2 linked regions of the Saccharomyces cerevisiae S288C genome follow. The gene in region 1 interacts genetically with each later gene. Each region holds a gene or a part of one and is shown on either strand. Other genes may lie near its edges.

Region 1 (8,148 bases):
CCACTCCCTGATCTACCTCCAGAATCTCCTACCGAATTCCCTGACCCATTTAAAGAACTCCCACCGATAAATTCTCGTCAAACTAATTCCAGTTTGGGTGGTATTGGTGACTCTAATGCCTATACTACTATCAACAGTAAGAAAAGATCATTAGAAGATAATGAAACTGAAATTAAGGTATCACGAGACACATGGAATACTAAGAATATGCGTAGTTTAGAACCTCCGAGATCGAAGAAACGAATTCACCTGATTGCAGCTGTAAAAGCAGTAAAATCAATCAAACCAATACGGACAACCTTACGATACGATGAGGCAATCACCTATAATAAAGATATTAAAGAAAAAGAAAAATATATCGAGGCATACCACAAAGAAGTCAATCAACTGTTGAAGATGAAAACTTGGGACACTGACGAATATTATGACAGAAAAGAAATAGACCCTAAAAGAGTAATAAACTCAATGTTTATCTTCAACAAGAAACGTGACGGTACTCATAAAGCTAGATTTGTTGCAAGAGGTGATATTCAGCATCCTGACACTTACGACTCAGGCATGCAATCCAATACCGTACATCACTATGCATTAATGACATCCCTGTCACTTGCATTAGACAATAACTACTATATTACACAATTAGACATATCTTCGGCATATTTGTATGCAGACATCAAAGAAGAATTATACATAAGACCTCCACCACATTTAGGAATGAATGATAAGTTGATACGTTTGAAGAAATCACTTTATGGATTGAAACAAAGTGGAGCGAACTGGTACGAAACTATCAAATCATACCTGATAAAACAGTGTGGTATGGAAGAAGTTCGTGGATGGTCATGCGTATTTAAGAATAGTCAAGTAACAATATGTTTATTTGTTGACGACATGATTTTATTCAGCAAAGACTTAAATGCAAATAAGAAAATCATAACAACACTCAAGAAACAATACGATACAAAGATAATAAATCTGGGTGAAAGTGATAACGAAATTCAGTACGACATACTTGGCTTAGAAATCAAATATCAAAGAGGTAAATACATGAAATTAGGTATGGAAAACTCATTAACTGAGAAAATACCCAAATTAAACGTACCTTTGAATCCAAAAGGAAGAAAACTTAGCGCTCCAGGTCAACCAGGTCTTTATATAGACCAGGATGAACTAGAAATAGATGAAGATGAATACAAAGAGAAGGTACATGAAATGCAAAAGTTGATTGGTCTAGCTTCATATGTTGGATATAAATTTAGATTTGACTTACTATACTACATCAACACACTTGCTCAACATATACTATTCCCCTCTAGGCAAGTTTTAGACATGACATATGAGTTGATACAATTCATGTGGGACACTAGAGATAAACAACTGATATGGCACAAAAACAAACCTACCGAGCCAGATAATAAACTAGTCGCAATAAGTGATGCTTCGTATGGCAACCAACCGTATTATAAATCACAAATTGGCAACATATATTTACTTAATGGAAAGGTAATTGGAGGAAAGTCCACCAAGGCTTCATTAACATGTACTTCAACTACGGAAGCAGAAATACACGCGATAAGTGAATCTGTCCCATTATTAAATAATCTAAGTTACCTGATACAAGAACTTAACAAGAAACCAATTATTAAAGGCTTACTTACTGATAGTAGATCAACGATCAGTATAATTAAGTCTACAAATGAAGAGAAATTTAGAAACAGATTTTTTGGCACAAAGGCAATGAGACTTAGAGATGAAGTATCAGGTAATAATTTATACGTATACTACATCGAGACCAAGAAGAACATTGCTGATGTGATGACAAAACCTCTTCCGATAAAAACATTTAAACTATTAACTAACAAATGGATTCATTAGATCTATTACATTATGGGTGGTATGTTGGAATAGAAATCAACTATCATCTACTAACTAGTATTTACATTACTAGTATATTATCATATACGGTGTTAGAAGATGACGCAAATGATGAGAAATAGTCATCTAAATTAGTGGAAGCTGAAACGCAAGGATTGATAATGTAATAGGATCAATGAATATAAACATATAAAACGGAATGAGGAATAATCGTAATATTAGTATGTAGAAATATAGATTCCATTTTGAGGATTCCTATATCCTCGAGGAGAACTTCTAGTATATTCTGTATACCTAATATTATAGCCTTTATCAACAATGGAATCCCAACAATTATCTCAACATTCACCCATTTCTCACAAAGGATAAATCTCTTGGTTTGCGGGCCGCATACAAGATATGATTGTAGTTTTTTCAATGGCTCTACTGTCCCACTGCTGTACAACAGAAAATGAGAGATCAGAGAAATAGTATTCCGGAAGCCAGTGGTGTTTACTTATTAGTTTTTTGACGCCACTGCGCGAGTTGCTGCCTAGCTGTTCCTTGGCCAACGCATATTGGAACTTCATTCGACTGATATGCTTACTCAGAGGTCCATTACTTCAAGAATTGTCTCACCTATCGGGCTTGGCGTTTGTACAAGAAGAAACTTTCATCACCTTTGTTTCGCCACCAAATGAAAAAAAAAACTTGCATGGCTTAGGTGGTTCTTTGTCAGAAATATCTTCTAAGGATCAAGAGTCTTACGTGATTCTAATCCCTTGGCAAGTCAGATCTCAAATATGCTCACTCGCAGATGAGTAGCAATGAATGCGACCAAGTGACTAGTGACTGGTGACGACATGAGCCAAGCTGGAACCAGCAGCTTTCACGTCGGCTTATAGCTCTCTATGGGGCAATCAACCACTCATAGTGACTGAAGATCTTTTTAATATAATTACATTGCTAAAAACGTCATACCGCCTTGTGAGCACGATAAACAGCATATGCATTGAGCCTTGTTATTCTTCGGAACTGGGGATAGTAAAATGCGACCCGCTTAGGATGATCAAGCTATCTTTGGGACGGAGTTTTGTCATGGGAGTGGTCATCCTACTGGTGATGCTTCAACATTTGATTTACTAAATTTTGAAATCGGCCGCAGAATAAAACTATTATGTCCAAACAATTGATGGTCGAACCAACGTTAAGGGTTTCAAGTATTGAATTGAACTTTTATGAGTTCTATAATTTCGTTGCGCAAATTCAACTAAACCACCAATATCCCCCCTACAACGCTACACTTTATACCGATAGAGGAATAACGCATAGAGCCTTCGTAGAATTCTTCAACTCGTACGTGATGGGGATTCTAAACCTATCGTCATGTCGCTGTACAAGGCTGCTGCCTGCTTTCAAATTCCCAATTTTACCATGTCCGTTTCGCTGAGCCGAATCGTCACACAAGGTAATTAGTTCTGGGTATCGCTTCAGTATAGCACTGGTTTTTTCCTTGTAAAACCACAGTCTAACAATTAAATGAAGCTTTTCGAAGAAATTAGACCATGTTAGACTGAAAGCAAAGACTCCGGCCCGTTCTGAGGTAAGTTCAATGAAATTGGACAGTTTCTTTTCAAGGTTAGGTTTTGTGTTCGAAAAAAATAGATTACCGCACCTCCTTTCCAAACCCCATGAGTTTCCATTAAGGAAGAGCAACGTCAATAATACCACCTTTTGCAGATGTGATTCAACTCAAGATGCTGTAATCTTTCCCTTCTGACCCTAGATCACCTCATGATATCCTTTTGAGGCAATTAAAGCTGCAGTGTAAACTGTTGAATATCTTTTTGAAACCAAAAAAAAGGACGTTCCACACTTGGCTGCTTTCTTGATAAGCGAGATCTTTACTTGGAGATCTCGCTTAGTCCTCCGAAGGTAAACCCCGTCTCTTATCTTTAAAAAAATGTATCAGACCCTTCAGCACGTGACAGACAGCAAACTACCAGTCGACGAGGATGCTTTTCCGAAAGTCATGACACAAGGGAAGGACTGTAAGATCGATATCGGCGCAGTCTTATCGGATGTTCCAAGTCCTTGTCTCTTTCATTATCTGCTTGCTATCGCAAAAAAAAAAAAATCAATTTGTTTAATATCAACACATAATGTACAAGAACAAATCATGACATACAAAAGCCATATAAGATGAGTCTTCAAGCAGCACCAAGAGGCCTGAGGCAGAGCAAATGTTGGCTCGCTATTCTTTTGTAAGCAATCTGGTACTCACCAACCTCCAACTATGAGATCTTTAAATACCCTTTTACTTTCTCTCTTTGTCGCAATGTCCAGTGGTGCTCCACTACTAAAAATTCGTGAAGAGAAGAATTCTTCTTTGCCATCAATCAAAATTTTTGGTACCGGCGGTACTATCGCTTCCAAGGGTTCGACAAGTGCAACAACGGCGGGTTATAGCGTGGGATTAACCGTAAATGATTTAATAGAAGCCGTCCCATCTTTAGCTGAGAAGGCAAATCTGGACTATCTTCAAGTGTCTAACGTTGGTTCAAATTCTTTAAACTATACGCATCTGATCCCATTGTATCACGGTATCTCCGAGGCACTAGCCTCTGATGACTACGCTGGTGCGGTTGTCACTCATGGGACCGACACTATGGAGGAGACAGCTTTCTTCTTAGATTTGACCATAAATTCAGAGAAGCCAGTATGTATCGCAGGCGCTATGCGTCCAGCCACTGCCACGTCTGCTGATGGCCCAATGAATTTATATCAAGCAGTGTCTATTGCTGCTTCTGAGAAATCACTGGGTCGTGGCACGATGATCACTCTAAACGATCGTATTGCCTCTGGGTTTTGGACAACGAAAATGAATGCCAACTCTTTAGATACATTCAGAGCGGATGAACAGGGATATTTAGGTTACTTTTCAAATGATGACGTGGAGTTTTACTACCCACCAGTCAAGCCAAATGGATGGCAATTTTTTGACATTTCCAACCTCACAGACCCTTCGGAAATTCCAGAAGTCATTATTCTGTACTCCTATCAAGGCTTGAATCCTGAGCTAATAGTAAAGGCCGTCAAGGACCTGGGCGCAAAAGGTATCGTGTTGGCGGGTTCTGGAGCTGGTTCCTGGACTGCTACGGGTAGTATTGTAAACGAACAACTTTATGAAGAGTATGGTATACCAATTGTTCACAGCAGAAGAACAGCAGATGGTACAGTTCCTCCAGATGATGCCCCAGAGTACGCCATTGGATCTGGCTACCTAAACCCTCAAAAATCGCGTATTTTGCTACAATTATGTTTGTACTCCGGCTACGGCATGGATCAGATTAGGTCTGTTTTTTCTGGCGTCTACGGTGGTTAAAGCCTGATCAGTGACTTTTCATCACACTGTGTTTTTATATAGTTCTTAGTAGTAAATATACTCTATAATTTCTACATCCTTTTCATGATGTGCCAGTTAAGCTATTTTTAGCAAACAAAAAGATGAATTTGAGTATTGAGCACATCATTCACTGTTCAGCTGATACAAAACATATGATTTCTAATATTCACATAGGAAAAATCGCTCCAAACATCGAAGTATCATCGCTACTTTGGTCTTTTATCTGCTTCTCTTCTCTTCGCTCTTTTCACTGCTCGTGCCGCTGCAACGCTCCAACTCAGTTCTATCTCAGCTCCTTCCCCTTATCCCTTGAGCAGTGTCAAGGCGAGGCTGCGTGATGTATTCGTGCGCGAAAAAAAAAACAACTGCAGCACCTGAGTTTCGCGTATGGTCACCCACTACACTACTCGGTCAGGCTCTTACCAGCTTAACTACAGTTGATCGGACGGGAAACGGTGCTTTCTGGTAGATATGGCCGCAACCGAAATAGTTAGGTGTGGCAGCCGTACATATGGAAGCCGGGCGATGGCTCCGCCACGTGCAAAGTGCAGGAGCTTTGGAAAGAGCGTGCATATAGTGATGAAAACAGAGAGCACGGTTGCGAACGGAGGGTCTCACAATGTCTCAAAGGATAAATCTCTTGGTTTGCGGGCCGCATACAAGATATGATTGTAGTTTTTTCAATGGCTCTACTGTCCCACTGCTGTACAACAGAAAATGAGAGATCAGAGAAATAGTATTCCGGAAGCCAGTGGTGTTTACTTATTAGTTTTTTGACGCCACTGCGCGAGTTGCTGCCTAGCTGTTCCTTGGCCAACGCATATTGGAACTTCATTCGACTGATATGCTTACTCAGAGGTCCATTACTTCAAGAATTGTCTCACCTATCGGGATTGGCGTTTGTACAAGAAGAAACTTTCATCACCTTTGTTTCGCCACCAAATGAAAAAAAAAACTTGCATGGCTTAGGTGGTTCTTTGTCAGAAATATCTTCTAAGGATCAAGAGTCTTACGTGATTCTAATCCCTTGGCAAGTCAGATCTCAAATATGCTCACTCGCAGATGAGTAGCAATGAATGCGACCAAGTGACTAGTGACTGGTGACGACATGAGCCAAGCTGGAACCAGCAGCTTTCACGTCGGCTTATAGCTCTCTATGGGGCAATCAACCACTCATAGTGACTGAAGATCTTTTTAATATAATTACATTGCTAAAAACGTCATACCGCCTTGTGAGCACGATAAACAGCATATGCATTGAGCCTTGTTATTCTTCGGAACTGGGGATAGTAAAATGCGACCCGCTTAGGATGATCAAGCTATCTTTGGGACGGAGTTTTGTCATGGGAGTGGTCATCCTACTGGTGATGCTTCAACATTTGATTTACTAAATTTTGAAATCGGCCGCAGAATAAAACTATTATGTCCAAACAATTGATGGTCGAACCAACGTTAAGGGTTTCAAGTATTGAATTGAACTTTTATGAGTTCTATAATTTCGTTGCGCAAATTCAACTAAACCACCAATATCCCCCCTACAACGCTACACTTTATACCGATAGAGGAATAACGCATAGAGCCTTCGTAGAATTCTTCAACTCGTACGTGATGGGGATTCTAAACCTATCGTCATGTCGCTGTACAAGGCTGCTGCCTGCTTTCAAATTCCCAATTTTACCATGTCCGTTTCGCTGAGCCGAATCGTCACACAAGGTAATTAGTTCTGGGTATCGCTTCAGTATAGCACTGGTTTTTTCCTTGTAAAACCACAGTCTAACAATTAAATGAAGCTTTTCGAAGAAATTAGACCATGTTAGACTGAAAGCAAAGACTCCGGCCCGTTCTGAGGTAAGTTCAATGAAATTGGACAGTTTCTTTTCAAGGTTAGGTTTTGTGTTCGAAAAAAATAGATTACCGCACCTCCTTTCCAAACCCCATGAGTTTCCATTAAGGAAGAGCAACGTCAATAATACCACCTTTTGCAGATGTGATTCAACTCAAGATGCTGTAATCTTTCCCTTCTGACCCTAGATCACCTCATGATATCCTTTTGAGGCAATTAAAGCTGCAGTGTAAACTGTTGAATATCTTTTTGAAACCAAAAAAAAGGACGTTCCACACTTGGCTGCTTTCTTGATAAGCGAGATCTTTACTTGGAGATCTCGCTTAGTCCTCCGAAGGGTAAACCCCGTCTCTTATCTTTAAAAAAATGTATCAGACCCTTCAGCACGTGACAGACAGCAAACTACCAGTCGACGAGGATGCTTTTCCGAAAGTCATGACACAAGGGAAGGACTGTAAGATCGATATCGGCGCAGTCTTATCGGATGTTCCAAGTCCTTGTCTCTTTCATTATCTGCTTGCTATCGCAAAAAAAAAAAAATCAATTTGTTTAATATCAACACATAATGTACAAGAACAAATCATGACATACAAAAGCCATATAAGATGAGTCTTCAAGCAGCACCAAGAGGCCTGAGGCAGAGCAAATGTTGGCTCGCTATTCTTTTGTAAGCAATCTGGTACTCACCAACCTCCAACTATGAGATCTTTAAATACCCTTTTACTTTCTCTCTTTGTCGCAATGTCCAGTGGTGCTCCACTACTAAAAATTCGTGAAGAGAAGAATTCTTCTTTGCCATCAATCAAAATTTTTGGTACCGGCGGTACTATCGCTTCCAAGGGTTCGACAAGTGCAACAACGGCGGGTTATAGCGTGGGATTAACCGTAAATGATTTAATAGAAGCCGTCCCATCTTTAGCTGAGAAGGCAAATCTGGACTATCTTCAAGTGTCTAACGTTGGTTCAAATTCTTTAAACTATACGCATCTGATCCCATTGTATCACGGTATCTCCGAGGCACTAGCCTCTGATGACTACGCTGGTG
Region 2 (8,574 bases), on another chromosome or scaffold:
TTGCAGTGTTTATTCGGGGTAGCATTCTAGTAAATATACAAGTGTCTACACCTATTCTTGAAGACTGCGATGACTTTGAGGATGATTGATTCAGATCCTTGGTTCTCAGCTGTCCTTTTGTAATTTTTAGACCCATCTTTATTTTGCCGTAACTAAAAATAAAAACTAAAGAGCAGTGCCCAAGAAGAAGAGGAAAAAAACAAAAAGAAAGCTGAAGAAAAGTATCTCAAGATATTTTCAGTAAATTTTTTTTTTTTTGAATTTTCCGTTTAATATTAAAAGACCTTAAATCGATAAGTTATGTATCTGTATATACAGGGTGTACTCAATTTAGCAATAACATTACAGTGGTGCCACTTGGTCCTCCTCGAATTTTGTAGATAAGCCATTTTGCATGACATTTTCTAAATCGTCAATTTCTTTCACTGCTTCAACAGTTAAATTAGTGTAAGTATCTTCACCAATGGCTATGTCATCTTCAATTCTTATTCCGACGTTTCTAAAGTAAGATGGAAATGATTCCTCGTTAGGAATATATAAACCCGGTTCAATAGTAATAACTTGTCCAACCTTTAATGGTTCGTACCTGGAAACTTTAGGCACATCGTGAACATCTAGACCTAAATTGTGTCCAATATAGTGCGGATACAATTTTTCAACATTCCAACCGGAGACTTTATCTATGCCCAAGTTTTTCAATTCCTGTTTCATGAGTGTGATACTCTTTTCATGGATGTCGTGGAGGGAATAGTTATTGCTAGCTTTACATAACTTAATGCAATCACGCTGAACATTTAATACAGCTTCGTAGAGATCTCTTTGTGCATCAGTGAATTTCCCACTATTGGGCCACGTTCTCGAAATATCAGCACAATAACCACCCAAGGAGCCAGCAGCGTCTACAAGAACCATTTCGTCGTCAAACATCACATCATCGTTTCTTGTGTAATGGATACACAAAGAATTCGAACCAGTAGCGACCACGGGGATATATGCGTCCTTATCGCAACCACCGGATATAAACTTGTAATGAAGAAAGGAATCTAAAGTTCTCTCATTCCTAAATCTTTTAGCAAAGGCTTGATTGAACGATCTTCCTGATATTTGGCCAGCTCTCCTCATAATTCTCAACTCTTGAGGGGACTTGATCTTACGGAACTCTGCAATTCTTTTACTGATGGGTTTGATGGTCTTATTCGCAATGGAATTCAATGATCGATTGCTATTCCCACTGCCATCTAACAGGCTCTTGATGTGTTTAAAATTGGACGAACTGGGATTAGAAGTTGATAGCATATCAAAATAGATGAAATCATTCCTGTTAATTATTTTGGGCAAATATTTAGACAAATCGTTAATGGAAGCAGATTCATCGGCATTGAAAATTTCTTGAACACCATAAACCCCAGACCTAAATCCTTCCCACTTTTCAGCAAACGCATCCTTTGGCGGAACCAGCATGTGGAAAATTGTATCACTTAAACTATCCGTTGGCTTTTCTAAAATCATGACCGAATTAGGTTCATTCCAACCACTAAGATAAAACAGGTCATTTTCCTGTTGGAACGGATAAAATACTGCTCCAGATGCAAATTGGATATCGTTACCAGCTAAAATCACACAACTTTTGGGAGGCAATGTTTCCGCCAACCTAATTCTTCTTTCATAGTATTCCAAGGCTGAAATGCCTGGTGTCAACTCGCCCGACTTTATAAGGAACGGCCTTGTCTCATGCAGTGGTTGGCCTGCCTCAATGGGGATTCTGACTCTATTAGTAAAAGTATTACTTTTATGCTGTTCCAATGGCGATACCAACTTCGAGAAGTATCTTTGGCAAGATTGCATAGAAAACCGTACTGGGTTTATCCTATGTAACATATCAACAGAAAATGACCACTTTTCCTATTAGCTTTTTCTATTATATTCTTTAGAATTGGTGGAGTTTCTTGCGCAAACGATCCACTTTTGCAGTGCAGTAAGTGATCCCTATACCAGGTGAGTTGATATATATTTACTGTATCTTGTACTATTTTATGAACAAGAAAGGCTATTACTCACAACAGTTTTGGTTTCAGTCAAAGTTTATGTGTGAGTGTGAGTGTGAATGTGTGCGTGTTGCATAATTGCATTTGGCCTTTCCGAGAAATAAGTCATTCTTTATTTTTCTCTCTTTACGGTTTAATGGTGCGGCTTTCGTATCTGCGTCTCATCCTTCCCCCTTGCCGCTTGTCAGAACTCTCTAGCTTGGCGATTCTCTATCAACCTGTTATTCCAATTCTTATATCTACCATTACCTTCCAGCATTTTTTCAAATGTGTTCACACGCCCTGTAACGTTTATATATAAATATTTTAATATTTAACTTAGCTTATGCATATATAGTTAAAAGGGATAATAACAATAAGAATAAAAAACACAAACTGCTGAGATAAGAAAAGGAAGCGAATAGTTAATAATGCCTGATTCATCACATTCAATAAGCTCAAAAGATGTTGCATCTGCCATCTCTCTCTATGATCAGTCCATTTACACTAATAACAGGTCTACTAACCTGGACTTAGATCAGAGATCAATGAGCCCTTCCAATATTGCCTCTGGTGAAGATAGGATAACGAGAACGAACTCAGGTTGCTCCATCACATCAGGTGCCTCCATGATTGCCACGAAGGATGGTATTCAGGGGATTAATGTCAAAAGAGATGGGATTCCGAAATATTCACTTAATTTATTGAATTCCATGGTTCGAAAACAATATGATCACAATAATGGAACAAAGTCTCCTACCCCGAAGACTAGCAATATGGTAGACCCTAAGAACAAAAAGAAGAACAAAAAAAAGAAGAATGACAAGGATGACAAATACAAGGTATCGCATGATCAAACCGAAAAGTTTTACAAACTCAACACCACTTCCAACTCCAATCTCACCTCTGATTCTACTACTTCGTTATCGGACCAGTTTTATTTCCAGAAAAGTAACGCTGATTCTGCTCCATTAGACAATGCAAATTACCCACTCTCCGACCATTCCCCCTCCCTAAACTCTATGGATAATACTACAAAGCATAGCAGCAATGTGCACACTTGAATCACGTGAACCACAGTAACCTAATTGCTCAAATTTTGAGAGTTAAAGGAAAGAATAAAATATATAAATGATACGTTTATACCCGCTAAAAAAAAAAAATATAAAACAAAAAAAGGATCTCATAAGACGATTTGTTGGGATATGTCCACATCTTTCGGCTATATACTACATTTAGCTGTTTCCCGTTTCTTTGTATTATTCCCTTCTTATGTATAACTTTTACTAGTAATAATTATAATAAATATTCGTTTTGAAACATGGTAATTTCAAATGTTCAATGTATTTTCGGGCCGATTGCTGACCAGCGACACTTTAAGCCGAACTGTATTTAGTAGACTCCCTTTTCTCATCAGCGAAGAAGAAGTAGCAAAAGCTGTTTAGCAAGCAAGACAGCAATACGAAGACCAAGCATGATTAGGTACACTGTTGCTGGCCATTCCAGAAGGTGTGTAGTAGGAGCTTCGAAAAGAGTGGGTGCAATTAAATGTATCACCGTCGCCGCCACCAAGAGATTTATCTCCAATAAGCCAAACGAAGTTTTTACCAAGCTAACGAATGACAATGATCCAAAGAGAGATGCCTTTTTCAAATATACGTGGGGCTCATGGCTTAAAAATGATAAGCAAGAAAAGGAAAAAAGATTCACGAAGTTTTCGATTGAAGGTTTAAATCGCATTCTCAATGACATCTACATTCAATCTAATGAAATGGCTAAGGCCCCCGACGGTAAGATCTTACCACCAGTGTTTAACAAGAACTTGACCGTTTCATTGGTCAATAACGTTGTACCAAAGAATATAGGTAAAATCAACCCAAATGAAAAAGTTCAAGTAACCACATTATCTAGTATTCACGAAGGTAAACATCACAGAATATACAAGGTCGACACGAATTTGAACAAGGCATTTATCTTGAGGATTCCTTATCCGCTGGAAAATGAAAACACTCTATCCTACAGAATAAGAAGTGAAGTAGCAACCATGGATTTTGCTGACTTGAAGTTGGGCATCAAAGTTCCCAAGATTTTTTGTTATGGTGTCAATTCTTTGAACCCTGTAAGGCAGCCTTTTGTCTTACAAGAATTTATCGAAGGAGAACTCTTGATGAAAGATTGGGATCCATTGATTGAAGACGGTTCCTCCAATCAAAAAAAATATGACAATGTTATTAAACAAGTTTCTGATTTTCAGTCGAAGTTAGTGTCATTGAAATTAAATGCATTTGGATCCATATATTTTAACAATGACTTAAAAGACGGAAATGAGAAGGAGTTTGTTAAGGAAGACATATACGATGGGGAAACTAATCCGGATCTACAAAACAGATGGAAAATTGGGCCATCCGTGGAAAGATGTCTCTGGAGACATAAATCTCACTTGGATTTTCATAAACAAATGAAACCTTTTTTGGGACCATGGCCAAAGAAGTCTCCAATGGATATAATTAAAAATACTGGCCTATTGGAAGCTGAAAATGCTAAAACTAGAATAGCCATGAAAGAGGCAGGAAGTTCAGCTGAATTGATGTATCCTCGAACTTTGAAGGAGCAAATAACTACCTATGAAAATTTAGCTAAGATTGCCCCGGATTTATTCAACGTCAAAACAAAGGCCATTCCAAATATGCAGGAACTATTGTCACCACGTTTGTTTCATCCTGATCTAGACCCCATGAATATTATTGTTAACAAAGAAGCACAAGAAGCCTATCTATTAGATTTTGAAGGAGCATGCACAAAACCTTTCATTTTACAGAATTCGCCACAATTCATCGCCTATGATGGGCCCAAGATTTATGACTTAAAGGAGGACATAACCGATTTTGACAAATTATCTGAGGCGGAAAAGGTGCAATATCAGTTCATGTACAAGCGCACCCGTAATCAACATCAATGGGAGAAAAAATTAAATGACAATAATCCTAAATTAATTACTGCAGTTGCCCCACCTGTTAAGCTACTGAGAAGCCCATATATTGCAGCTGTCGAAAGAAAAACGGAAGAAGAGTATTTACTTATTGATGAATCACTATTGCAATTGAAGGAAGTTTGGGACATCTTTGCCCAGAATGAGTTAGTGAATCAGAAAAAGTTTCCTCTAAACTATAGTAAAGAAGATATTGAAAGACATGTTGAGGATTTGCAAAAATTACACGAAAAGCTAATCTCTACACCATTTGCTGCCACTCAAGGGTGGATTCCTCAAGATATGTTTGATCAACTATTAAATTCCGGCAGTATTGTTAAGCAAGAGAACGGAGACTACACCGTGAAGCAACCTGAAGCTACCAAATAATCTATACTAAAAATGAAATATTTTTTTGTTTTCTTTACCTCATTCAACTGTATAGAACGTTATAACAAAATAATCAAGTTAAAACCCTTTTTTGTACACAATGGAATCTCTTCCATTTACTAATCAACTTAACAATGCTGGATTGGATATATTGATAACGTTTTAAAAAGCGTTGCGTGATGTTTGGGTGCAATTGGCGGAAAAGCGGAACTTTCAAATTTACGATAGGTGGAGATACATCTCCACCTTTCTCCCCATTATCTTTGAATTTTCCTCAAATATATAAAGAGAACAACAAATCCATAGAAATGCCATTGTTTAATCCTGATTATCTACATTGTTTTAGTTTTTTACTCACAATCGAGTAATGCCTTTGTTTGGCCAAGCTATGTGCAAATATCACAAATTAAAAATTTGGTTAAGCAGTTAGGCTGGACCTAATATTTTAGAAAAACCTAATTTTTTTTGTGGACCCATTTTCGATATTTACTCACAAATGGAATTCAAGGGGAACAACTTCGGTCTCAGCACTTTAATTATTCTTCTCGTTCCCACCTAATTTCGCAATTTATTGTCCTTGACTTCTACCACGAGAAAAAAATTAAGAAAATGCAACGCTGCCCGTGCAGGGTTTTCTGAGCGGGATGAAAAAATCAGACAAATATCCAAGTTATGAGTAATTACTTTGTTGGAAGGAGGGAGCAGAGGATAAGGAAATTCTTAAAACTGTTATGTATATAAAGGAAGAACCATTTCTAGTTATTTCACTTTTTGATACTTGTCAACTATCTTAGTAAAAATACAGAACTCTATAAAGAACCACAGAAAAATCGACAGCAATGACAAGCATTGACATTAACAACTTACAAAATACCTTTCAACAAGCTATGAATATGAGCGGCTCCCCAGGCGCTGTTTGTACTTCACCTACGCAATCTTTCATGAATACCGTTCCACAGCGCTTGAATGCTGTAAAGCACCCAAAAATTTTGAAGCCTTTCTCAACGGGTGATATGAAGATTTTACTATTAGAAAACGTTAATCAAACTGCTATTACAATCTTCGAAGAGCAAGGTTACCAAGTCGAATTCTATAAATCTTCATTGCCCGAGGAAGAGTTGATCGAAAAGATCAAGGACGTTCATGCTATTGGTATCAGATCAAAGACTAGATTAACTTCAAATGTCTTACAACATGCGAAGAATCTGGTTTGTATTGGTTGTTTCTGTATCGGTACCAACCAAGTTGACTTAGACTACGCTACCAGCAGAGGTATTGCTGTTTTCAACTCGCCTTTCTCCAACTCAAGATCAGTAGCAGAATTGGTCATCGCTGAAATCATTAGTTTAGCAAGACAACTAGGTGATAGATCTATCGAATTACATACCGGTACATGGAATAAGGTTGCTGCTAGATGTTGGGAGGTAAGAGGAAAAACTCTTGGTATTATTGGGTACGGTCACATTGGTTCCCAATTATCAGTTCTTGCAGAAGCTATGGGTTTGCATGTGTTGTACTACGATATTGTAACTATCATGGCCTTGGGTACTGCCAGACAAGTTTCTACATTAGATGAATTGTTGAATAAATCTGATTTTGTGACACTACATGTACCAGCTACTCCTGAAACTGAAAAAATGTTATCTGCCCCACAATTTGCTGCTATGAAGGATGGCGCTTATGTTATTAATGCTTCAAGAGGTACTGTCGTGGACATTCCATCTTTGATCCAAGCCGTGAAAGCCAACAAAATTGCAGGTGCTGCTTTGGATGTTTATCCACATGAACCAGCTAAGAACGGTGAAGGTTCATTTAACGATGAGCTAAATAGCTGGACTTCTGAATTAGTTTCATTACCAAATATCATCTTGACACCACACATTGGTGGCTCTACCGAAGAAGCCCAAAGCTCAATCGGTATTGAAGTGGCTACCGCATTGTCCAAATACATCAATGAAGGTAACTCTGTCGGTTCAGTCAACTTCCCAGAAGTGGCATTGAAATCATTGTCTTACGACCAAGAGAACACTGTGCGTGTGTTATACATTCACCAAAATGTACCAGGTGTTTTGAAGACCGTCAATGATATTTTATCGAACCATAACATCGAAAAGCAATTTTCCGATTCAAATGGTGAAATTGCTTATTTAATGGCTGATATCTCTTCTGTTGACCAAAGCGATATTAAAGATATTTATGAACAACTAAATCAAACCTCTGCTAAGATCTCAATTAGATTGCTATATTAATATGCAATCGATTCTCATACTGTCAACTTTTTGAACATGATTAAAAGTTTCCTATAAAATATTAAAAAGAACCAAAAAAAAAATGGATAGAAGAATGCTTGAGGCAATAATAATGATTATCTATTTTATATATACATACATAATCATTTAAGTTTTTTTTTTAAAGATATTTCGATTTAGCCGAATCTGCTCAATGCCTCTTCGATGACATCCTTGTGGTCTTCTGAAATTAGGCCTTGTTTGATTTGGTGGTTTCTTTTACGAATATTTTTCTCCTTATCCAGTTGTTTCTGTACTCTTAATTTTCTTTCATCAATAACGTTTTGAGTCTTTTTACGCAAAAAGGAACGCAAACCCGAATTCTTACCTTTCACATCAGGTTTTACATCTGGAATGTCGCTGTTGGTTTTGGCTTTATTATTAGCATCCATTGTAGTTTGCGCCAAATCCTTAGCGTTTAACCTTATGGTAGAAGACCTTTTATCCACTGAACCGATGGAATTCGGATCTAAAGTAATTGTATCTGCTGGCAGTTTGTTCAATAGGGTTCTGACTTCCTGTTCCTGTCTTTGTTTTTTGGTTTCGAATGGGTTTAATTCTAAGGCATCGTAATTGGCTTCACCTGCACCAGGTACAATCAAATTCGTAATACCCGTTTGATGGCCTACACCTAGTAAATCTTCAAATGGTACGAATCCCAAATTTTCTACTTTGTTTCCGGCAAACAAATGTGACATGTAAGGGGTGTTTCTATGTGGGTTCCCTCCCATGGACCCGAAGCACGGTTTACTGTCTCCACTTAATTTTAAAGCGTCCTTCCACAACGTAACGTGAGGGCCCCTAGATAATGCCAATAGACCAGTATCTGAAATGGAAACGTTTGTTCCTGGCGTCGGTAAGCTTTCCACAGAATGTAGTTGCTTGAAGTTTCTGATATCCCAAA

What was found.
Region 2: mutations in ASP3-2 (region 1) and SER3 together harm fitness more than expected from each alone (negative genetic interaction), as found in Saccharomyces cerevisiae (one large-scale study listed by BioGRID).

The regions. Positions count from the first base shown.
Region 1 is NC_001144.5:470,060-478,207, reverse strand, and holds ASP3-2 (asparaginase ASP3-2), read left to right. Parts: upstream 1-4,150; coding exon 4,151-5,239; downstream 5,240-8,148. Other genes in the region: YLR157W-D (uncharacterized protein), read right to left, coding at 2,232-2,444; YLR156C-A (uncharacterized protein), read left to right, coding at 5,598-5,729; YLR156W (uncharacterized protein), read right to left, coding at 5,751-6,095; asparaginase ASP3-1, read left to right, coding at 7,803-8,148.
Region 2 is NC_001137.3:316,465-325,038, forward strand, and holds SER3 (phosphoglycerate dehydrogenase SER3), read left to right. Parts: upstream 1-6,221; coding exon 6,222-7,631; downstream 7,632-8,574. Other genes in the region: MRX1 (Mrx1p), read right to left, coding at 1-136; ICP55 (aminopeptidase), read right to left, coding at 343-1,878; YER078W-A (uncharacterized protein), read left to right, coding at 2,182-2,346; YER079W (uncharacterized protein), read left to right, coding at 2,456-3,088; AIM9 (Aim9p), read left to right, coding at 3,499-5,382; UTP7 (Utp7p), read right to left, coding at 7,808-8,574. UniProt on the Saccharomyces cerevisiae protein: Catalyzes the reversible oxidation of 3-phospho-D-glycerate to 3-phosphonooxypyruvate, the first step of the phosphorylated L-serine biosynthesis pathway. Also catalyzes the reversible oxidation of 2-hydroxyglutarate to 2-oxoglutarate.